4 linked regions of the Drosophila melanogaster genome follow. The protein of the gene in region 4 purifies or fractionates together with the protein of the main gene of each other region. This does not show direct contact. Each region holds a gene or a part of one and is shown on either strand. Other genes may lie near its edges. The genes, in order: Cul2, TER94, Cul4 and Roc1a.

Region 1 (7,329 bases), on a different chromosome or scaffold from region 4:
GTTATTCCTGCAGAAATCTACTTGCACCCGCTCCTACCCGCGACCAGAAACTCTAACGGTTCTCTGCCGCGCATCAAAAGAATAGAAAAGGCAATTACTAGAAATGTCGTTACATTTAAATGATCTGCGACATATACAAGTTGTCCACGTACATGTTGATATACAAATTCAAAACTCCAATCTCAGCAGCAGATAAATAACCAAACTTAAAGTAAACACCAGTCAGAAAATTTCAATTTCACAATGCTGTGAAATAATTTCAGTATAAAGCTTTTATCCTAAACATATTTGAAGTTCCAGAAAATTCTAAAAAATTTCTAGGTTGAGTGGATTAGGATTTAGATTTAGAAAATCAGTCTAAGTCCGGACGAGATTGTGAACATTTTCAAATTAAGGATAAGATAAGATAAATAAATTTTAAATTTTAATTTACATGTATCTACATATGTTGGCTGTTGTCTATCCCAGTTTCGAAAACAATGCATGTAAAAAGCGTGTAGTCACAGAAAAATTATATCTCCACGAAAACTGTGGATTAAATTGTAATCAAACTTTTTACACAAATAATGAAATTACAACATTTTTAAGATACCGTGCAATTTGAAGTTTATTTAATTTTTTGGAATTCACCTCCAAATAACGATTAAGAAATAAATACAAAACGTCTGCCGTGCTGATGGCTCAGGCTTTCCTCAGGCTGGAGTACCCCCCATGCCACAGCTCTAAACACTAAAGTCGATAACCACCGACGTCTCACAACACTGAAAATGTAAGCAATGTTAAAGCGAACACAAAGACAAAAAATTTAAATGTTTTGAAATGCTTAGAACATCACACCTTTTGGTAAATCGGAGTCCGAATTCTTTAAATAATTCTCGGTATATATATTAATTATTTTTTACATCATTTACATCTCAATCCATTTCTCCATCAGTATATGGTATCACACTTGGATCGACGACTGCTACATTGGATAGGTCAAAGTGAAATGTGTGGATGGCCTTTGGAAGCTACAAAGGCTGGAAATAGTGGTAGGCGATGTGCCAATTTTTGGCGCATATGGAAGGTTGCAAGTATTGATCACCGGCGGCTACGGTGGATGTGGCTCCAATTTATTCTTTGGAGTAAATTTCCGGTTTGGTGGATAAAAAAGTTCCAATCGACTGACAACCAACAGACAACTAAAAAAATTTGGCGCTCAACGATCTTAGCCATTGACAAATATGAGACTTTCTGATTTTTTGAGCTATACATTTTGTAAATTTTTGTTTCTTTAAGCTTAATGGTTTTTTCGTTTGTTTATCTTAGCCTTTATATATTTTCTTAGTAATTAAACATGTATTTATTTTGTATCTATCTCTTTGTATTTGTATTTTTTTGTATGTATCTCTGTTTGCCTTTTCGAAAGCCACATCTAGGCACTTAACAGTTTAGACCTTTAAAACTCGGTCTGTACAAAATGGATCATTCTTCTAGATCATACACTTACCTTTAAGGCATAACCCTTAACTCACTTTTGAAATCTTTTGAAAATGTATATTCTTTTGAACAAAAAGGTTGGCACTCGAGAGCAATAGCAATACGTATAAGCAATCGAAAAAAACGAAAATCATAAAAAATCCTAACATTATTACAGTTCACATATGAAATCAATTTAGGTTTGTGCACTTACAGTTTTTTAAGAAAATGGCTTTGGCCAGTTTTTAGGCAGGAAGGTAAAAAATTTGTTCAGTGGATCGGCGTTGACAATAAATTAAGATCAAAACAAAAGCAAACGTTTCGGTAGTGGAGACACGACATTCTTTTTACATCGAATTTTTTGTCGAGTTCAAATATCGATAGATTATATCGATATCGTCTTCGTCTGACAAACCATTTCACGATACCAAAAAAAAAGTGCAAAAATAACTAAATTCTCGGCGTAATTATTTAGTAAATAGCGTAGCTAAGCAGCAGGTGAGTAGGTCGCAAGCGCGCCCCTCCACGATCCATCAAGCGGTAATTGGCCTGCTGTGCAATTGCTCGAGGACAAGGCCATTTGCCTGGTGGCCCCCACGCAAAAAGTAAGCGATTATGCCAAAAAGCAAAGCAGAAGTGGTCTCTGCCAACGCATGAGGGTCGCTCGGTCGCCCATTGTTATATTTGCGAAGGCAGAATCAGTCGGCGTTCTAATTAGCGTGCACCCTGTCCCATCAGAAAACCCTTCCAAATCCATATCCAGACGGACCACGGATTAGGACTAAGACCCATTTGACATGTCGCTCAAGCCCAAAATAGTGGAGTTTGTCGATGTTTGGCCGCGCCTGCGCTGCATCGCCGAGTCGGTGATAACGCTCACCAAAGTGGAGCGCTCGGTGTGGAATACTAGCTTCAGGTACGTCTTGGCAACGGTCGGAGTATTAAACAGCCTGGAGAGAGATATTGTGATAGGTCACTAGAGACTACAAAGTTACCCAACTCAGAAGAAACACAAATAACACTAACTAACTTTTAAATTAATCCAACATAAGTAATGGTTTCAATCACATTATTTTGCATTTGAGTTGGTAAACTATGAATGTACTAGTACCTAGCGGTTCAACTATATATTTTATTCAACAGCAAAATTCACAAATATAGCTGCTAGCGAGGCGAAAATGATTTGGTAAATGTCGTAGAATCTTGATAAATGCAATCATAGTTTTAATAATAAATGCCTGTTTTCTAGCTTGAATTTAAATATTTTGACCGCTTAAAGGTTAAACTAAGTTCAAGTAAATATTAAATAGATCGATGACGTATCTTTTTAAAATTAATAATCAAAACAGTGTAACGCAGGCTGCTTTTATTCTGACCGCAACTGTTCGTATATATGTGTGAAGCGTGAGTTGCCAAAATAAAATTTCTAAAATAACGAGCACTAATACATCTGTCTTTCCAATCACATTCCTTTAACATATAGCGACGTTTACACACTGTGCGTGGCGCAGCCGGAACCGATGGCTGATCGTCTTTATGGCGAAACAAAACACTTTCTTGAGCAGCACGTCCAGGAGATGCTGGCCAAAAAGGTGCTGATCGAGGGAGAATGCTCCCATTCCAATGGTGGCCCAGACCTTCTCCAGCGTTACTACATCACCTGGATGGAATATAGCCAGGGTATCAAGTATCTGCACCAATTGTACATGTAAGAATGCATCGAAGTCTGTAATAACTCAATGATCGTTGGAATTAATTTCCTTTAGCTACCTGAATCAACAACACATCAAGAAACAAAAGATTACCGATACGGAATCGTTCTACGGTAATCTGTCAAGCGATGCTGCGGAGCAGATGGAGATTGGCGAGCTAGGTCTAGACATTTGGCGCCTGTATATGATTGAGTACTTGTCCAGCGAACTGGTCCGTCACATACTCGAGGGCATTGCCGCAGACAGAGCTAGCAATGGCACCTTGGATCACCATCGCGTGCAAATTATCAACGGAGTGATACACAGCTTCGTGGAGGTACAGGACTATAAGAAAACAGGCTCGCTTAAGCTCTACCAGGAACTCTTTGAAGGCCCCATGCTGGAGGCCAGTGGCGCCTACTACACAGACGAGGCTAACAAGTTGCTCCATCGGTGCTCAGTGTCGGAGTACATGCAGGAGGTTATCCGGATACTGGAATATGAAAGCCGGAGAGCCCAAAAGTTTTTACACGTCAGTTCCCTGCCAAAACTACGTAAAGAGTGCGAGGAGAAGTTTATTAACGATCGTTTGGGCTTCATCTACTCGGAGTGCCGCGAAATGGTTTCAGAGGAGCGGCGCCAAGACTTACGCAACATGTACGTCGTACTAAAGCCCATACCCGATAATCTCAAGTCTGAGCTCATAACCACCTTCCTCGATCACATCAAAAGTGAAGGTCTGCAGACCGTATCTGCGCTGAAGGGCGAAAACATCCATATTGCGTTCGTAGAGAATATGTTGAAGGTACATCACAAGTACCAAGAGCTGATCGCAGACGTCTTCGAAAACGATTCTCTATTCCTGAGCGCATTAGACAAGGCGTGCGCCAGCGTTATCAATCGCCGGCCAACCGAGCGGCAGCCTTGCCGTAGTGCCGAGTATGTGGCGAAATACTGTGATACGCTACTGAAAAAGTCTAAGACCTGCGAGGCAGAGATCGATCAAAAGCTTACTAACAACATAACCATATTTAAATATATCGAGGATAAGGATGTGTATCAAAAGTTTTATAGCCGACTGTTAGCCAAGCGCCTAATCCACGAGCAAAGTCAGAGCATGGATGCGGAGGAGGGAATGATCAATCGTTTGAAGGTGCGTGGTCTGCTAGTCTAAAATGTACTTCACAGTGAATAACTGCAATAATGTGAATTATTTATTTTTAATGCTGTTTTAATTTGTTATGACCCTTTTACAAAACTACATTAGCTTAAATAGATCTTCTTTTATTAATACTTACAGCAAGCCTGCGGTTATGAATTTACCAATAAACTTCATCGCATGTTTACGGATATATCGGTATCAGTAGATCTGAACAACAAGTTTAATACTCACCTTAAGGATAGCAATGTGGACTTAGGTGAGACGGAAAATGTATATTCATTAAAGATAGTTTATTTTTATGTATGTGTATTTCTATGCAGGCATCAACCTTGCCATTAAGGTACTGCAGGCGGGCGCGTGGCCCTTGGGATCTACTCAAGTTATACCATTTGCAGTACCACAGGAATTTGAAAAATCTATTAAAATGGTACGTTTTTCGTAAATGTATATATTTTATTTTAAAACGAGATAGAAGCTGCCTTTGACAAACCAAAGTTATAAAAAATTTTTTTCAGACTTTCTTTATTTAGTCAAATTTTTAAAGAGAGGCCTTTTAACAATATTCAGAAACATATATAAATATTTAAAGCAGCAATAAATACAAATAATATATAATAATAAATACAGAAAAACCTTTATGTAAAAAACTTTCCTTCAAATCGACGACTACATCGTAAGGTGTTCTCTTGAAATGTGTGACATATAGAAAGTTAAAAGTATCTTTATTTCAATAAAGGTACTTTAGCATACCAAATCAAAACGCAACTTCTTTTGGTCCAAATACATCTTAAACCGTGTGACTTTGTCGAAGGTACTTCAGAAATTTTAAATGTATACGTTAATCGTGTACTGTACCTTTGTTATGATTTTTCAGTTCGAGGATTACTATCATAAATTATTTAGTGGCCGGAAGTTGACTTGGCTACATCACATGTGTCATGGAGAATTAAAGTTGAGCCATTTGAAAAAATCTTATATCGTGACTATGCAAACATACCAGATGGCGATAATACTGCTGTTCGAGACTTGTGATAGTCTGAGTTGTCGGGAGATCCAGAACACCTTACAGCTAAACGACGAAACGTTTCAAAAGCACATGCAGCCTATTATCGAGTCAAAGCTTTTAAATGCCAGCTCAGAGAATCTCGCCGGTGAGACTCGAATAGAATTAAATTTGGATTACACAAATAAGCGTACAAAGTTTAAAATAAGTTCGGCTTTGCAAAAAGAAACGCCACAGGAGGTAAGGCATTTCGATTTCAACCTGGTTACCTGGTACCTGGTTTTCTAACGACGTTATTTATGTAGGTTGAGCACACAATTAACTCGGTAGATGAGGACCGAAAACTCTTTCTACAAGCCGCCATTGTAAGGATTATGAAAGCGCGTAAAGTCTTAAAGCACAATGCCTTAATACAAGAGGTAATATCTAAAACACCTGACTGTGAATTAAAATTACATGATGTATTTTTTCTTTAGGTTCTCTCTTTATCGAAGGTTAGCTTTACTCCCAACATAGCAATGATCAAGAAATGCGTGGAGTCATTAATTGACAAACAATATATTGAGCGAACGGCGAACTCGGGCGATGAATATAGCTACATGGCATAGACTGCGGTAGAGATTTTTTATTCTTAAACAAGAACCTTCCCGGACAACAACCTCCCATACACACAACTGACGCTAACCAAGCGGCTTATTTTGTCTAAAAAGAACTACCTACAATGTTAAAAAAAGAAATCAAAAGGTCAAGCAATTTGAGTTTTGTTATTTTTGTGGTCATAGCATATTGGTATGAAAGGTGTGTGGAAATCAAACGACGTTACTGATACTTTTAATTTAGCTTAGTTAGTTGATCCATTTTGATTTAATGCGTGTGTCCTATTCAATTGTAGATATAATATATTTCTTTATGTATTGTATATTTATCTGGTTTTATTAACACACGCACAAACCAGAATAATGTGCTGGAAAATGTATAATAAATCCCAAAAAATGTCTAAAAATATGTCATTCAAAGTATTTCGTATCCTGTGCGTTAACGCTGTACCACTGTACACTTCAAATTTACATAAATGAATGCTGTGCAAAAAGCAGTCAGCATTGCAGTTTAAGTATGCGGATAGAGATCTGTACTTTTTATTTGGTCGTCTCGGAAAAAACTGGATCTATTGTCCGGAATCCCATTCTTATAATTTTTTGATTTTCTAGTACTTTTTAATAACGAATCCGGGTAGAAATAGGCGTACCACCACCTACAAATTGGCATATCGTATATTGAGCTTTGAGTTGTCAAAGTGCCAAAGAAAGTGTAAAAGCAAACATTTTTCGAAACTTTCAAGATTGCTAAGATTCTTAGATTTTGTTTTAAAAGAGCTTTTAAGGACTTTCCCATCTTTTTGTTTTTGCTCACACATTTTATTGGACCTTGGTTTAAAATATAAAATTCCCTTAAATTCTTTTACTAATCTTAGAATGTCGATTTTATTAATTTACAATACCTTGTACGTATGTTCAGTAACCATTTAAGTTTCGCCTTTGCCAAGAAATCCAATATTTGTATATATTAAATACCCAAGGGCCGTGGATTATATTTGTTTTTAGTCATTTTTATTTCTTTTGTGCTACTTTTCTAAAAAATATATATCATAATGGTAAATTAATTAATTTTACAAATATGTATATGTAACTTAATAGTTAATTATAAAAATTATTAACTTCCTATATCAAATAACACTAGTTCATTGAACGGAATAAATAAAAAATACTTTTAAGTCGCTGATAACATTAATTTGTTTTGATAAATTCGGTAGAACATGATTGTAATTTGTTTCGCGATAAAAAAAGCGGTCCCATAAAAATCTTTTTAACGCTTCTGAATCCATGGCCATACCCTGAAAACAACTGCCTTCAACGACTTAAAAGCATTTTGGATGTAATAGCTGTAACTGTAATACAATTCGTTAATAATAATTTTATCTTGTTTTTGAGTGCCACAGCTCCCGCTGATAAAATGAT
Region 2 (5,729 bases), on a different chromosome or scaffold from region 4:
GGCGGTTCCGCTGCCCTGCCCCCCGCTCTTCGCTGCTTCCTGCGCCGCGGAAGGCGACGGCCATCTTTATCAGCCACCCCGACTCCCCACTCCTCTTCATCGTCACCCTCATCGTCACAAAAACTGGTTTCCGCTCGCCACTTTCTTTTGCTCTCTGCGCAGGCGCTCTTCGAAGACAAGAGACTTGCAGGCGATTGGTTGAATTCGTTCTGCGTTTCTATGGAGTTTGCTCCCATTCTTTTGGGGGCAGCGACCACGCCCAATGACGCTGCTCTCCTCTCTGCCGACGTCGCTGTCACTCTCTTAAGTACTAAAAAATAAAACTGAAAGTAAAGCTAAATAAAACGCTGCCATAATTGGCATCGTTAATGCCAAAACCATGAATACTAAAAAGTTTTTACGAGCATAAGCTGCGATTGAGCAGTTATTGTAGGGACAGGTTGATGGCCGAGTGTTCTAGGGAAATGAATGAATGAAGATTTTTTCTTACTACCAAAACTTCTACAACTAAGTGAAATAGACGGATTGAGTTCTACATACTTCCTACATATATTTTAGATATAGACATAGCCGAAAAGTATGCTGCACTTTTTCAATAAAAACGTAAGCAGCTACGTTATCACGCATGGCTTCATAGCAGCGATCATCTGCCAGCGAGCATAGCCAAGTTAGGCACCTGCACACATTGCCACTCTTTCCTTTAGCGTTGCCACTTCAATTTCTTTTACAAACCATCGCAGCGTGTAATCGATATTTTCTAAGCCCAATCGATGAATGTCCGGTAACGCACATCACCAATCTGTTTCTGCTGCCTCATCTTTGAATTTGACTAAAAGTGCCGATTTCCAGCTCAACGAATAGTCCAAGTCGCGCCGAATTGTACAATTAAGTTAAAAAGTTCAACGTCAACTAGTTTATCATGGCAGATTCCAAGGGGTAAGTGAACTGGACGCCGAAATAGGCGCCGACTGTGTCGGTCCAAGTCGAAATTCACAAATTTCGCTCAGTCATTGAGCCGAAAAAAATACGCAAGGGCCACATCGCAGACATACTATTATTTAATTGTGAAAGGCTTTCGCCGATTTCCGCGAGACAAAGACATTTACCGCGACTTTTCCACTGCTCGGTTGCAAAATGTTGCGAAACTAGGGCAAACCTAAAAACCGAAGAAAAAAAAACGCCAGCGAGAATCGCCATTTGCAGTACGTTGTTGTTGTTGTTGGTGTTACTGCCCTTGCAGTTGTTGTTGCCGCTTGAAAACTTACGATTTCCCTTTGTTGTCCCAAAAATACAAGTCATCCTTTGCTGGAGGATACAATTTTCCGGTTGTTGTAGTTATAACTTTGGATACGAAAAACAATACTGCATACATATATGGCAGCTATTTCTATAATAAATCGCGAAAATCCTAAACTATATGCCGAAACCACTTATTTCAATGCTACCTATTAGTAATACCTTTTTTGATATTGCATTAATTCTAGAAAAGTCTTTGTGCTCCCTCAACTCGCCAGAAGTAAAAAAAAACATATCGTTTAAGTAACAATAAATGCATAATTTACCTCAAAGTTTAGAAATTATTATAACAAATGGCGCCAAAAAAGTTGGCATCGAATACAAGAAATACAAACATACTTTTATAACTAAAGACAATAAACAATTGTACTATTATTCCGATTAATATAGATTTTTATGAACGATATAGGGTGATAACCTTTTATGTTCAAAAATCTATCAATAAAGATTGATCGACATCATCACGTTAGCAACGAAAAATGATTCGGCAGGCCTAATTATCCAGATGCTTAGTTCCATTCCGTATTACTAGTGAAAGTAGTTTCCATAAATTTATCAAAACTAACAAAAAAGGCAATCCAAAAAAACAAAAAAAAAAACAAAAAAAACAATGTCTGGCGGCAAGAACGATAAGATGGATCATGATGGGGATACGAGGGACTTTATGCGGGGATATCACAGCGAGCAGGATGAGAAAATGAAGCCGAAAGACTCGTTCGATAAGCGGTTAGGCCAAATTATATATAAGACATAAGATATTTCTTTAGCGACGAGTCTTACGCGATGCTTTTTTCTTCTACCCTACAGTGAAGATCTGGCTACGGCGATCCTGAAGCGCAAGGACCGTCCCAACCGACTGATTGTGGAAGAGGCGCAGAATGACGACAACTCTGTGGTGTCGCTATCGCAGGTAAGATTCACTCTCCCAAAGGCCACGTCATCGCATGGCTAATTCACATGACTTGGCTGTTCTTTTTCCCCCTTAAACTATATCAGGCGAAGATGGATGAGCTGCAGCTCTTCCGTGGCGACACCGTGATTCTGAAGGGCAAGCGCCGAAAGGAGACGGTGTGCATCGTGCTCTCGGACGACACCTGTCCCGACGAGAAGATCCGCATGAACCGCGTGGTGCGCAACAACCTGTGCGTCCATCTTTCAGATGTGGTTTCCGTGCAGTCCTGCCCGGACGTCAAGTACGGCAAACGGGTGCGCATCCTGCCCATCGACGAAAGCACCGAAGGCGTTACCGGCAACCTGTTCGAGATCTATCTGAAGCCGTACTTCCTAGAGGCCTATCGGCCAATCCACATGGGCGACAACTTTATTGTGCGCGCCGCCATGCGTCCTATTGAGTTCAAGGTGGTGCTGACCGACCCGGAGCCCTACTGCATCGTAGCTCCCGAGACGGTAATCTTCTGCGACGGTGATCCAATTAAGCGCGAGGAGGAGGAGGAGTCCCTAAACGCCGTTGGCTACGATGATATCGGTGGTTGCCGCAAGCAGCTGGCCCAGATCAAGGAGATGGTTGAGTTGCCTTTGCGGCATCCATCGCTCTTCAAGGCCATTGGTGTGAAGCCACCGCGTGGTATTCTTATGTACGGTCCCCCGGGTACCGGTAAGACCCTGATTGCCAGGGCTGTGGCCAACGAGACCGGAGCCTTTTTCTTCCTGATTAACGGACCGGAGATCATGTCCAAACTGGCCGGAGAGTCGGAATCGAATCTGCGCAAGGCCTTCGAGGAAGCCGAGAAAAACTCGCCGGCTATCATCTTCATCGATGAGATCGACGCTATTGCCCCCAAGCGTGACAAGACCCACGGTGAGGTGGAGCGTCGCATTGTGTCGCAGCTTTTGACCCTGATGGATGGCATGAAGAAGAGCTCCCATCTGATCGTTATGGCTGCTACCAACAGGCCCAACTCCATTGACCCGGCCCTGCGTCGCTTTGGACGTTTTGATCGTGAGATTGACATCGGCATTCCAGATGCCACTGGACGGCTGGAGGTGCTGCGCATTCACACCAAGAACATGAAGCTGCATGATGATGTTGACCTGGAGCAGATTGCTGCCGAATCCCACGGACATGTGGGCGCTGATCTGGCTTCACTCTGCTCTGAGGCTGCCCTTCAGCAAATCCGTGAGAAGATGGACCTCATCGATTTGGAAGACGATAAGATCGATGCCGAGGTGCTGGCGTCGCTGGCCGTGACAATGGAGAACTTCCGCTACGCTATGACCAAGTCCAGTCCATCGGCGCTGCGTGAAACTGTTGTTGAGGTGCCCAACACCACCTGGACAGACATCGGAGGTCTGGAGAGCGTCAAGAAGGAATTGCAGGAGCTGGTGCAATACCCAGTGGAGCATCCGGACAAGTTCTTGAAGTTTGGCATGCAGCCCAGTCGCGGTGTCCTTTTCTACGGACCCCCTGGTTGCGGTAAGACGCTGCTGGCCAAGGCCATTGCCAACGAGTGCCAGGCGAACTTCATCTCAGTCAAGGGTCCCGAACTGCTGACCATGTGGTTCGGCGAGTCTGAGGCCAACGTGCGCGACATCTTCGATAAGGCCCGCTCGGCGGCTCCTTGTGTGCTCTTCTTCGACGAGCTGGACTCGATCGCCAAAGCCCGTGGCGGTAATGTCGGCGATGCTGGCGGCGCCGCTGATCGTGTGATCAATCAGATCCTTACCGAAATGGATGGCATGGGAGCCAAGAAGAATGTGTTCATCATCGGAGCCACCAATCGCCCGGACATTATCGATCCGGCCATCCTCCGTCCGGGCCGTCTGGATCAGTTGATCTATATTCCGCTGCCCGACGACAAATCGCGTGAGGCTATCCTGAAGGCTAACTTGCGCAAGTCGCCGCTGGCCAAGGAAGTAGACCTTACCTACATCGCCAAGGTGACGCAGGGCTTCTCTGGCGCCGATCTGACCGAGATCTGCCAGCGGGCTTGCAAGCTGGCCATCCGACAGGCCATCGAGGCTGAAATTCGTCGCGAGAAGGAGCGCGCCGAAAATCAGAACTCCGCGATGGACGTAAGTCATTTAGCTTAGCGCAAAAAATAAGAATGTTTATGTTTGACTATTTACCCATATAATCAGATGGACGAGGACGATCCAGTGCCGGAGATTACTAGCGCCCACTTCGAGGAGGCCATGAAGTTCGCTCGCCGTTCGGTGTCCGATAATGACATCAGGAAGTACGAGATGTTTGCCCAGACTTTGCAGCAGTCCCGTGGATTCGGACAGAACTTCAGGTGAGAATTGAAAGGCATTTCTTGTTGGAATCCAGGTTACTGATGATAGTGTATATGTTATTGCAGATTCCCCGGTCAAACCGGCAACACCTCAGGATCTGGTAACAACTTGCCAGTTAACTCGCCCGGCGACAACGGCGACGATGATCTTTACAGTTAGATTTCTAGTTTTACACCGCAAAACAAAACCACAAAATGGAACTTTTTAAATGAATTTTTTCCGTAAAACCGAGCAAGCAAAACCAATCACATTCGCATCCTGGACGCGGTAACTTACTACAGCAACCATTGGCTAAGACATCCAGCCGATGGCGAAATCAGATGACATACCCGATTCAATATTCACTTCTTTGATACCATCCTTACTCTTGGTCGCGGATACGTGCAGTAGGAGAAGGTTCCCATTTGGATTTGGGCTCGCCTAATCCGAAACCATTTTAATTGGCGAACTATTCCGCGCCTCACACTAATCATTCGTGCATTGTCGGTAGAGTGGCTCCGATATATGAGTTTCTATAAACATAATTATTAACGATACACATACACACATACATTTAAAGATAAATACATATATTAAACACCGTAAAATTATAAGTGTATTTGGAGCTACATTTTTAAGTGAATAAAAATTATAAATTCAACAAAATCATGTGCTTTAAATTGAAGAAATATTGAAAAATAGACGCAACGAGGTAATTGGGTGTTGAGATTAAAGAGCAAGAGTTACATAATCAATTATTTATTTTTGATAAGGTTCACTAGCAAAGTGGAACGTTGCTTTATTTTAACTGATCATTGGCCACAGTGCAATAAAATGCGTAATAAATTAAATTGGTCGGTACTCGTATGAGTGCAGTGAAAAAATATGTCTTCGTGCCTCGATTTCTGCAAGTCCAATTTAGTCATCAAGAGTACTAACCAAATCCATACTGTTCCCATTTGAAAATATCATTTCATTTGTTTTATCGCATTTATTAAACTTGTATTAATTCGTCATGTTTGCTTTTTCTGGTTTTCAATTGTTTTTTCACTTTTATTTTTATTAATTCTTTGCGACATAACAAGGACATCTTAATATGAAGTTAGTTGAATTCTTTCATATTTAAATAATCATTATCGCTTCGGTCTTATAAATAAACTTTCTTTGCCATTCTTTTAACCGCTCGTTAATTAAATCAA
Region 3 (6,569 bases), on a different chromosome or scaffold from region 4:
TCTTAATAGATTCTTTAATACCCTGAATATAAATAAGAAAATCCGATTGGTTACCTTCCAGGTGTAGTTTCGAAATTAGTAATTGACGTCGTCTCTCCGCTTCTTCGCAGAATGCTCTTAGGCTTCCTCTGTATGGTGTCTCCCTGAAGTTCTCCAGAAGTTTGTAGTTTGGTGTTTGAATTTTAAATTCCGCGATGAGTCTTGCTTTAAGGGTAGGCCAATCTTCGATGTTCGGAAGTCCCAAAGATCGTGTAATTTGTCCGTCCAAGTTCCTTTCGATGGCTCCCAGTAGAATCCTCTGTTGTCGGACATCATTTGTTTGGTAGAGCGAAATTACGTAATCCACTCTGCTGATAAAGGTGTGAAGGGTTTCTGGATCACCCTTGAATGGCATAATGTCTTTAAGCTGCCGACGGGCTTCGGCAAGGTTTATGTCGCTCAGCGCAATAATTGGTTGTGACATTTTTATTGTAAAATTTTTAACTTTTGTGTTTTATTTTTTTGTTTTGTTTCGGATTCAATGTTATTATTATTTTTAAGCTTTCTAGTTTCACTTGTTTGTTTTTTTTTGTTTTGTAAATTTTTGTGTTGTATTATTAAAATTCTATATTGTTTTAATTTTTTATTTTTATATGTTGGTTTTAAAACTTAGTTGCCTTTGGACTTAATATTTTTGTTTCGTATTTCACTTCCACTTATTATTGGATAACCGAATTGGAATTATAATCCAAGTTGAAGAGTTTTCACGAATTTATTTTGGGAGATGTTTCGAGCACTGGACTATAAAATTTAACTTATTTTCCACTCGAAGGTTCTTTTTTTTTCGGATACTTTTGTATCCTACCGACTGCGCCAGTAAAATTGTTGTTTTATTTATGAGTCGAACTAATGTCCCGTCAGTTGACTAAGGACAACGCCAAGAAATAAAAAATAGTTTTTAGGAGAAATAGTTTCACGACTTTATTCTTTGGATCTCAGCTTAAGACTAAAAATCAAATGCAAATTGGATTGAGGAGAAGCCTCAGTATTTGAACAATATTTGTATTTCGGGAGAGCCTCGCTCTTGGGTTCTTAAGATTAGGTAGCGTTGAAAGAGGGCAGTCAAATCTGCTTAGGTCAGGCTTTAGGATGTTTACAAGAACGGCTGCGCTGCCAAAGATAAACGAATGCTGCGCAGCTGGGATACGTTATGGAAAATTACTAGAGTGCATTACTGATTTCTTTGAAATAATGGAAGTGGCTGGTTTGGACCACCCAAATACGTCACTATATATTAGTGGGATGGACGCAGTTTTAATAGGCAATTTAATATGCGTTTTTTTATGAGGTAGTTATATTATATTTCTTGCCTAACTTCGTCGTTATTAAAAAAGGTAACTAGGATAGAATAGCATTTAATGAATCGTCTAATGCTATGTCTTCATCTGTGGGTCTCGTCGGAGGAGTCGGCTCCACTCGCAACTGCTCCATTTTCGTGTAGAACTTTGGGCACTTTTGAAGAACCTTGGAGTATTCCGTGAATATTTGAAAGGACGCCCTTTGGAGCAGCGTTTCTCCCATATGATTGGAGGCCAGTATTTTTGCCAAGTTCTTGTAGTCCCGCTGCATAAGGCAATCCCGGGCCAGTCGTAGTTTCTCGTACGCAGTGGATCGTCGAACGCTGAAGTAAAACTCGTTACTGGCCGGAGGAGCACAGGATGGGTTTTGGTTCACCCAAAAGCCATCTTCGGGACTGGTGGCGATCTCAAGCGTGCGTTTCAAAACATTTGCGGGTATCCTTCTGGCTGGAAAATTCTCACCCTTTATTTTACGCGGTGCAGTTTTCAAAGGCGATGGCTTCTCATCTTTTGTTTTCATTTTATATGGCGAAAGCGAACATAAATGCGTCGCGAACACAATGCGTCGTGCTAACAGTGATAGGCAATGTTAACCTGTTTCACACCAATATCGATAGGCAGTGCTGCCCGCTGAGCTATCGATTACCCGCAGCCAATCGATGTTTTGATTCGTCCGATATCCCAAAAAGCAATATTTTCCGCATGCAACCAAAAGCGAAATAATAAAATGTTGCCTGTGTAATTGTACTTCCGAAGTTTTGTCGATTTGAATAGTCTCTCAGGCGTCGAAGGAACCCCATTTGTCCAAAAGGACGCCGTTTGTCGGAGAAATCTACTTCGCAGCCGGAAAATTCACAGGAAGTCTATTTGCCTTGAGTTCGCAAGTTGCCAATTTCTTGACGACCCCAGTGCAAAAGTCGCAAAAATATTACGAATATTTGCTGGTAATCATTTCAAGGGTACGTATCGAAATACAAACTGCAATCCCTTCCCTTAAAGGAAAAGCCAGCAATCAATAACCGATCTCCACGCCCAGGACTAAGCAAAGCCGGTGCGACGAAAGCAGGGCAGGATCAGGAGAGCAGGAGCGGAGTGGAGATCCTGCTGGCAGCAGGGGCCCTAAGCTATGAGTGCGGCCAAGAAGTACAAGCCCATGGACACAACTGAGCTGCACGAGAACACAGAGAATATTGCCGCCTGCCTGAAGAAGGCCGAGAACGTCGCCCCCACCGCTGCTGCCGCCTCGAGCGTGGGCCGCAGTGCCTTCGCTGCCCAAAACATGAATTCTGCGTCCACCAACGGCGAGCGCCTGCCAAACTTCTCCAAGCTAGGCGGCAGCCATGGCGAGATCCGCACGGCTTCAACTACCTCAAATCTCCTCAATCGCATGGGGGCTATTCACAACAGCAAGCCTGGCGATGTCAAGAAGATAGTGATTAAGAACTTTAAGGGTAGGTCCCGTCTAGATCTCAACTGTTTGTATACTGCATGATTCAACTTCCTTCCTTCCTTCCTTAGATAAGCCTACACTGCCCGATAACTATTCCAAGGACACGTACGTGAAGCTTGAAGAAGCCGTTATCGCCATCCAACTCTCCAAGCCCATTAAATATTCGCTGGAGGAGCTCTACCAGGCGGTGGTGAACATGTGTAGCCACAAGATGGATGCACAATTATACGCGAAACTCAAGGAGCTAACAGAGCAACACGTAAAGCGCAATATTAAGCTCAAGGAGCTCACCGGCGGTAGCATGGACAAACTGGTAAGTTGCTGTTTAAGGAGCACATTTAAAGGTTTACTCGTCAACTTTTATTGTCTTTTAGATTTTGCTGGAAAAGATCAACCACTGGTGGCTCTCGTTCTGCCAACAAATGATCATGATTCGCAGCATATTCTTGTATATGGATCGAACTTATGTGCTGCAAAATTCGACCGTTCACTCGATTTGGGACATGGGGCTGGACCTTTTTCGCATCCATTTTGCTCAAAACAGCGTTGTCCAAAAGCGAACCGTCGACGGTTTACTAACGCTTATTGAAAAAGAACGACAAGGCTCCACCGTGGACCGTGGTTTGCTGAAGAGCTTGGTTCGCATGTTATGCGACCTGCAGATCTACACCAGCTCCTTTGAGGAGAAGTTCCTCGACGCAACCAATCAATTGTATAAGGCTGAGAGTCAACGCAAGATGCAAGAACTGGAAGTTCCCGAGTACTTACAACACGTCAACAAGCGTTTGGCCGAGGAGAACGAGCGTTTGCGTCACTATCTGGACTCGAGCACCAAGTATGCTGGCGAAGTCAATAATAAAAACAATTATTAATGCGTTTTTTACAGACATCCACTGATTTACAATGTGGAAAAAGAGTTACTTGCCGAACACCTAACGTCAATATTGCAGAAGGGCTTGGATTCATTGTTGGAAGACAACAGACTGAGTGACCTTACACTGTTGTACGGGCTGCTTAGTCGAGTCAAAAATGGAACATCCGAGCTGTGCGGCAATTTCAACGGTTTCATTAAGGTATGGATATGTTAAGTAGTATAAATTTATTTAAAGATACCTTTGTTTTAACTGCAGTAAAACATATTAATAGATCGCGCTAATATACTTACTTTCAGAAAAAGGGACGCACCATTGTCATCGATCCCGAGAAGGATAAGAGCATGGTCCAAGATTTGCTCGATTTCAAGGACAAAATGGATGTGATAGTTCGCACCTGCTTTGAGCACAATGAGAAATTCACAAACTCGTTGCGCGAGGCCTTTGAGTTCTTTATCAACCAACGTGCCAACAAGCCGGCCGAGCTTATTGGTAAGCGCCCACTGTCACTATATTTAAACGAGTTTGCTAAAGTTTATTCTTCCATTAGCTAAATACGTAGATATGAAACTGCGATCTGGCAACAAGGGAACCACAGATGAGGAGTTGGAAAAGACTCTAGATAAAATCATGGTTCTGTTTCGTTTTATACATGGCAAAGATGTATTTGAAGCGTTTTACAAAAAGGTTGTGTCCATCTATTGTATGTCGAGCATTATTTAATAACGAATACCATCTTAGGACTTGGCCAAACGATTACTTGTGGGCAAATCGGCATCAGTGGATTCCGAAAAGAGTATGCTCTCCAAGCTTAAGCAGGAGTGCGGTGGAGGGTTTACGTCCAAGCTGGAGGGCATGTTTAAGGACATGGAACTGAGCCGAGATATCAACATTGCGTTCCGCGGACACGCGTTAAGCAACAACCGCGATGTCCACAACTTGGACTTGTGCGTCAGCATTCTTACCATGGGCTACTGGCCTACATATGCACCTACAGAGGTCACAATGCCGCCACAGTTCATCAATCCTCAGCAGATTTTCAACAAATTTTATCTGGAAAAGCATAGTGGGCGGAAGTTGCAGTGGCAGCCTACATTAGGAAATTGTATGCTGCGTGCTCAATTCGATGCGGTAACTACTAATGGCTCCTACTATGTTCTATGCGATTGCAATGTTTACGTATGTTTCACAGGGACCGAAAGAATTGTTGGTCTCGCTGTTTCAAGCGCTTGTGCTTCTATTGTTTAACGATAAGCCAGTTCTGAGCTACGAGGAGATATTGGCCGCCACCCTCATCGAGGATGGAGAGTTGCGTCGAACACTTCAGTCCCTGGCTTGTGGGCGCGCCCGCGTCATAACAAAAACACCGAAAGGCCGCGAAATCTTGGATGGCGATCAGTTTGATTTTAACAATGAGTTCACAAACAAATTGTTTAGAATCAAGATCAACCAAATACAGATGAAGGAGACAGTAAGTGGCTTTAGTTTTGATGTAATTTGCACACACTTAATCTTTCCCCTTTTCCATTAGAATGAGGAGCAAAAGGCGACGGAGGAGCGTGTGTTTCAGGATCGTCAGTATCAAATTGATGCGGCTATTGTGCGCATTATGAAAATGCGAAAAACGCTGAGCCATAATCTTCTCATCACCGAGCTGTTCAACCAGCTTACCTTCCCTGTCAAGGTCCGTATACTAATCCTATTTGTTCTAAGTAGAAAGAAGCTAATATGTTCGTTGGTATTCCAGCCCGCTGACCTAAAGAAGCGAATCGAGTCGCTCATCGACCGCGACTACATGGAGCGAGACAAGGATAATCAAAACCAATACAACTATGTGGCATAAATGGCCACAGATTCTGTGAAATCCGAACACCGATTCGATTGTAATTCGCTCTATACCATACACATACATACTAGCAGTCTAATGAAGTTTTTGGAGTGCCCTCGTCCGATCGGCGATGTTCAGAGTTTTTCAGCTGTAATTTCGTTTCTATAACTAAATCGTTGAACAATCCGCCAGCTAATAGTGTAGCGACAGTTCTTTTTGTAAGTTACCTTATCATACAATAAATTAAGCGTTTATTTTACAAGCCGAGTCCTTTGAAATAGGTCATCGCCCTCGGAACGTCGATGCCTCCAGCAATTTAAAAAAGTTTTCGAACCGAAAGCAAACTAGGTGTTCAATAAACTTATTTATTGGACTTATTCTAATTTGTTTACTTTTAATTGATAATTCTCCTTCAATTAACAATAGAAGTGACATTTGCAGGCTAATTTTCTAAAGGAAACATTAAAATAATTATAACTCGTACTAGTAGCTCTGTATGCAAAAAAGAGATACGCATAACTTAATAGTTTTTTATTTACCATAAATAAAAAATTACTTGAAAATATAATGCACTTCGTGTTTCATTTGTAAAATATTACCAGCATTACTGCTTCAAAAAATCAGCGTCGAGCCCTTTGTTAAGCAGTTAGCAAAGGAATATAGTATATATACAGTTACAGATAAAATTGGGAAATTAGGTAGATTATATACAGATCAGAAATAAATATTGCTATCGCTTTCGCGTGCAGGGGTCATATTAAAAATGACATTGAGGCTGGTTTAGGTATCACAAATTGCCTTGCTGTTATCCTCCTGTCATTCTTTCGTATGCAAATCAAAGCTGCCAACTTGAAAAGTTCTTAGTGGCTTTTGTAGATATATTACAAAAATATTTGTAGTGTCTCCCGACAATAATACCATTTACGCCTCAACACTGTTGACGCTGTATTGTGAGCTGTCGTACTCGGACACGCTGTCGGAGCCGTAGCCCCCAAATGCTGCCGCCGAAGGTCGCACACTGCTGGTCCTTATCCCATTATCTTTCAGCACATCGGGCACGTAGATGGGTGCCGGACCGGCAA
Region 4 (3,625 bases):
CAAATGGCCACAATAGCGGGGCGAATGGTTCCACCGGCAGCTCCGTGCACCTCGCGGGCGCTGGCGCCCATCCCAGTAATACCAACAAGCATGGGAAGTCCGGTCCAGCGGGCACAGGCGGGGCCACTGGAGCCCGTAATCGCCGCGCTCTCTTCAAGAAACCAGCACAGAAAACTCCCAAGGTGCAGGCGAGCACCAGGTTCGTGAGAAGCCTTTTCCACAAGGGCAGCTATATACAAATCGGGGATATCGTCAGCATTGTGGACAGCGAGCAGAATCTGTACTACGCCCAGATACGCGGTCTGCTTGTGGACGCCTATTGCGAGAAGTCCGCCTTCCTCACCTGGCTGATTCCCACGCAGGACAGTCCGGATCCCCAGGAGGGCTTCGATCCCCCTACCTACCTAATCGGTATGTCAGTCCTGTCCTCCTGCCTGCTACCCAAAGTTTTTTAAATTGTATTTTTGCTTAACTCCCGTGCCTGCAGGACCCGATGAGGAGCTGTCCCGGAAGCTCTGCTACCTAGAGTTCGTGATGCATGCTCCCAGCAACTACTACTTCGACCGGAGCACCCCGTTTCCCCTGCCGGACGTGGATGAGTACACTGCCCAGAGATCGGGCGGCTACATCTGGACGCGGCTGCCGATAGTCAAGCGGGAAAAGGGCAGTGGCCACAAAGCGGGCGGTGCCTCCTAGCAGAAGAGGTGGCTCAAGGGCAGGATGGCCGGAGCCCTGAATTTGAAAAATCTAATTTATTGCAACTTTTACTCTTCGTAAACGGGCTACTTGCCGAACAGAAAATAATTCAAAAAGTACTTGATGTACTGTAGTACCAACTGAACTCAATCAGCAATTAATGAATAAAATACAATTTTGTAATTATGGATAACGAAGCGTTTCCGACCTATAAAGTATACATGTATAAACATATGTTCTTGATCAGGATCAATAGCCGAGTCGAACTGGCCATGTCCGTCTGACCGTATGAACGCCTCAATCTCAGGAACTATAAAACAGACAGTCGCAGCGCAAGTTTGTTGACCCATGTGGCCCAGTTTAGTGTCGTCCAACGCTACGCGCGCACTTTTGAAAAATGTTTTGATATTTTTAAAATTTTGTTATAAGTCCTGTTTGAATTGCAAAAAACTAATTCCCACGCCCACAAACCGCCCAAAACTGCCACGCATATACTTTTGAAAAATGTTTTGATTTTTCTTCGATTTTACTTTTTTGCAATTTGATCGGTATACCATAAACAAAACATTAAAAATTTTGATTAAGATACCAAAAGGTTATCGACACGAATCGGAATCGTTATTGAATTAGACGAGAAAATAGTGGTGGAGAAACATCGATGTTTCCGATTTGGCGAAAAATATCAAAGTCTTAAACATATTCTTTAAACATGTTGTTCTAAACATCGATGTTTTAAATAAAAACAAAAAAATTATCTGTTTAATTTAAATATTATTTTCTTTTTTAATATTGACTAAATAAAAAAGGCAGTATTTTAACTAAACATAAACTTATTGTCGTCTACGTCTTCATCCCTCCTTATTCAGGAGTTAAAAACTTAAATTTCAGATATTTATCCACGTCTTTCAGGACATCAGCCAACACCACCAGCAAGTCACACTAAATTTGCGATATGTTATTAATAATTCTATTAAAAAATATGGAACTTACAATTTATACTTACAATATATACACATATCTTCTCCGATGTGCAGTAAATACCATCGATACCATCGACGCCATCGATGTTGGCATCGATGTTTCGCCACCTTTACGAGAAAAAGCGGCGGTCACACTGCTTGAGCCTCACTGCGAGTGGTTTTCTATTAAAACGAAAAGGATAGGGACAGAAAAGCCAAAACTACGTTAGTTGTGAAAATTGCATTTGTGTTGCGAGAGTTTTGTCAGGATAAATAGGTGTATTTCCACCATGGAAGTCGACGAGGATGGATACGAGGTTCCCTCCAGCAGCAGCAAGGGCGATAAGAAGCGCTTTGAGGTGAAGAAGGTAAGTGGTCAGCAAAAAAGCAGGGTCATTGTCAATGAATGTACTGATGGTAACACTTCATCCTTTCCGCTTCGCCGAAAACAGTGGAACGCCGTGGCTCTGTGGGCCTGGGGTAAGTAGTAATGCGAATTGTAGTGCTCCGAGTCGGGGGATTAACCGCATTCCATTTCGATGCAGACATCGTGGTGGACAACTGCGCCATCTGCCGCAACCACATCATGGACTTGTGCATCGAGTGTCAGGCGAACCAGGCGTCCGCCACTAGCGAGGAGTGCACCGTGGCCTGGGGCGTCTGCAACCACGCCTTCCATTTCCACTGCATCTCTCGCTGGCTAAAGACGCGCCAGGTATGCCCACTGGACAACCGCGAGTGGGATTTCCAGAAGTACGGCCACTAAAATCTACAAAACCCCCAAGACCCACCAGATGGAGGGAGCAGCACTTCCCGCAAGCTAGATGATGGAGGCCTGCTTCATCTGGACATTTGAATACCTTTTTAGATCTTAAGCTAGTGGGGCGATTCGAGTGAACTGGTAGCCTTTAGGAGCACAGTTACCGATTTCCGAGACTCCCCGGGAAGCGCACCTTTTTGTAACGCGTTAAATAAAAGCTGTAGAAGATGGAGAAGACTAGACGGATGTTTCTACCTTTCACCCTTTGGAGTCTATATTCACTGTGACGATGGCATCTTACCGCGAAATCCACTAGCTAGTCGTGCCTAAATTTTCAGAGTATATAACTCATGACTGGCAAAAAATATGATTGGGTCATTGGGTTCCATAAATGTAGCTCTGCTTAGTTATCCTTGGATGGCATTTGAAGAGGATCTGGCTAGTTCAAACTAGTTTAGTTTTGCTTAACTATATGCGTCATGACCAGCTCCAGATCAGGTTGTTCAGATATATGAAAGTAGTTTCGTAAAAACAAATCAAAATCAGTCGATGCAAAGAAAGAGCTGCGTTTGTAAAAACTAAATGTTCTTTTTAGTTTATTATGAATGTTTTGCGGCCGCGGCAGCTTAGAAAATAATACACATTAGTTACAGATATGAATAAAGTATATGGTATATATCAAATATGATTAATGTTTAATTGCATAAGCTACTAACTAAACTTATAGGTAAACAAAAAATAATTATGTCGTTAAAAAATCATCGAATTTGCTTCGTGTGTGTGTGTGGTTGTGATGGTTTAGTTGTAGTTTTCTATCTGTCGCCTTTTAAAAACCAAATTTCACAGAGAACAAAATAAACAATAAGCTGGCAATAAAACGAAGGGCAGGGAGTGCGAGTTGTTTTGGATTCAGATTCATGTGAATTAAACCAGATTGCATGGTCCGTCGAACCACTTGAACCACCACTTGTATCGAGTTGTATTTAGCGTTTTATTTGAATCTTCTGTTCAATTGTTTTCGCTTGCTTTATAATTAAATTTCCCGCTTTTTGGTTTATATACATTGTTATTGTTATATGTATGTGAAAGTGTAAGCTCCTCCTCCTTTCGGTCTCTTCAACCAGCTCGCTTTGTAGTAATTAACATTAAGTTTGTCTCGTATATCTTGTATATACACCATGCATATATGTTATTATTTATATATTGCTGT

Evidence for each region.
Region 1: the proteins of Roc1a (region 4) and Cul2 purify together in Drosophila melanogaster (affinity purification with western blotting; 2 studies listed by BioGRID, with this or other methods). This does not show direct contact.
Region 2: the proteins of Roc1a (region 4) and TER94 purify together in Drosophila melanogaster (affinity purification with western blotting, with the first as the bait; one study listed by BioGRID). This does not show direct contact.
Region 3: the proteins of Roc1a (region 4) and Cul4 purify together in Drosophila melanogaster (affinity purification with western blotting, with the first as the bait; one study listed by BioGRID). This does not show direct contact.

The regions. Positions count from the first base shown.
Region 1 is NT_033779.5:21,656,899-21,664,227, forward strand, and holds Cul2 (cullin 2), read left to right. Parts: upstream 1-1,836; 5' UTR 1,837-2,063; intron 2,064-2,196; 5' UTR 2,197-2,255; coding exon 2,256-2,374; intron 2,375-2,941; coding exon 2,942-3,166; intron 3,167-3,224; coding exon 3,225-4,302; intron 4,303-4,449; coding exon 4,450-4,567; intron 4,568-4,631; coding exon 4,632-4,738; intron 4,739-5,185; coding exon 5,186-5,554; intron 5,555-5,619; coding exon 5,620-5,733; intron 5,734-5,790; coding exon 5,791-5,922; 3' UTR 5,923-6,800; downstream 6,801-7,329.
Region 2 is NT_033778.4:9,988,368-9,994,096, forward strand, and holds TER94 (transitional endoplasmic reticulum 94), read left to right. Parts: upstream 1-1,835; 5' UTR 1,836-1,930; coding exon 1,931-2,022; intron 2,023-2,103; coding exon 2,104-2,206; intron 2,207-2,292; coding exon 2,293-4,329; intron 4,330-4,395; coding exon 4,396-4,550; intron 4,551-4,616; coding exon 4,617-4,710; 3' UTR 4,711-5,192; downstream 5,193-5,729.
Region 3 is NT_033778.4:8,101,744-8,108,312, reverse strand, and holds Cul4 (cullin 4), read left to right. Parts: upstream 1-1,994; 5' UTR 1,995-2,296; intron 2,297-2,373; 5' UTR 2,374-2,463; coding exon 2,464-2,788; intron 2,789-2,855; coding exon 2,856-3,100; intron 3,101-3,161; coding exon 3,162-3,622; intron 3,623-3,673; coding exon 3,674-3,860; intron 3,861-3,958; coding exon 3,959-4,151; intron 4,152-4,209; coding exon 4,210-4,346; intron 4,347-4,400; coding exon 4,401-4,790; intron 4,791-4,851; coding exon 4,852-5,130; intron 5,131-5,190; coding exon 5,191-5,343; intron 5,344-5,406; coding exon 5,407-5,502; 3' UTR 5,503-5,705; exon of another isoform or gene 5,706-5,768; 3' UTR 5,769-6,053; downstream 6,054-6,569. Other genes in the region: udd (under-developed), read right to left, coding at 1,378-1,857; Tmem63 (transmembrane protein 63), read right to left, coding at 6,409-6,569.
Region 4 is NC_004354.4:645,503-649,127, forward strand, and holds Roc1a (regulator of cullins 1a), read left to right. Parts: upstream 1-1,801; 5' UTR 1,802-1,945; coding exon 1,946-2,135; intron 2,136-2,200; coding exon 2,201-2,421; 3' UTR 2,422-3,095; downstream 3,096-3,625. Other genes in the region: CG13367 (uncharacterized protein), read left to right, coding at 1-411, 488-696. UniProt on the Drosophila melanogaster protein: Core component of multiple SCF (SKP1-CUL1-F-box protein) E3 ubiquitin-protein ligase complexes which mediate the ubiquitination of proteins involved in cell cycle progression, signal transduction and transcription.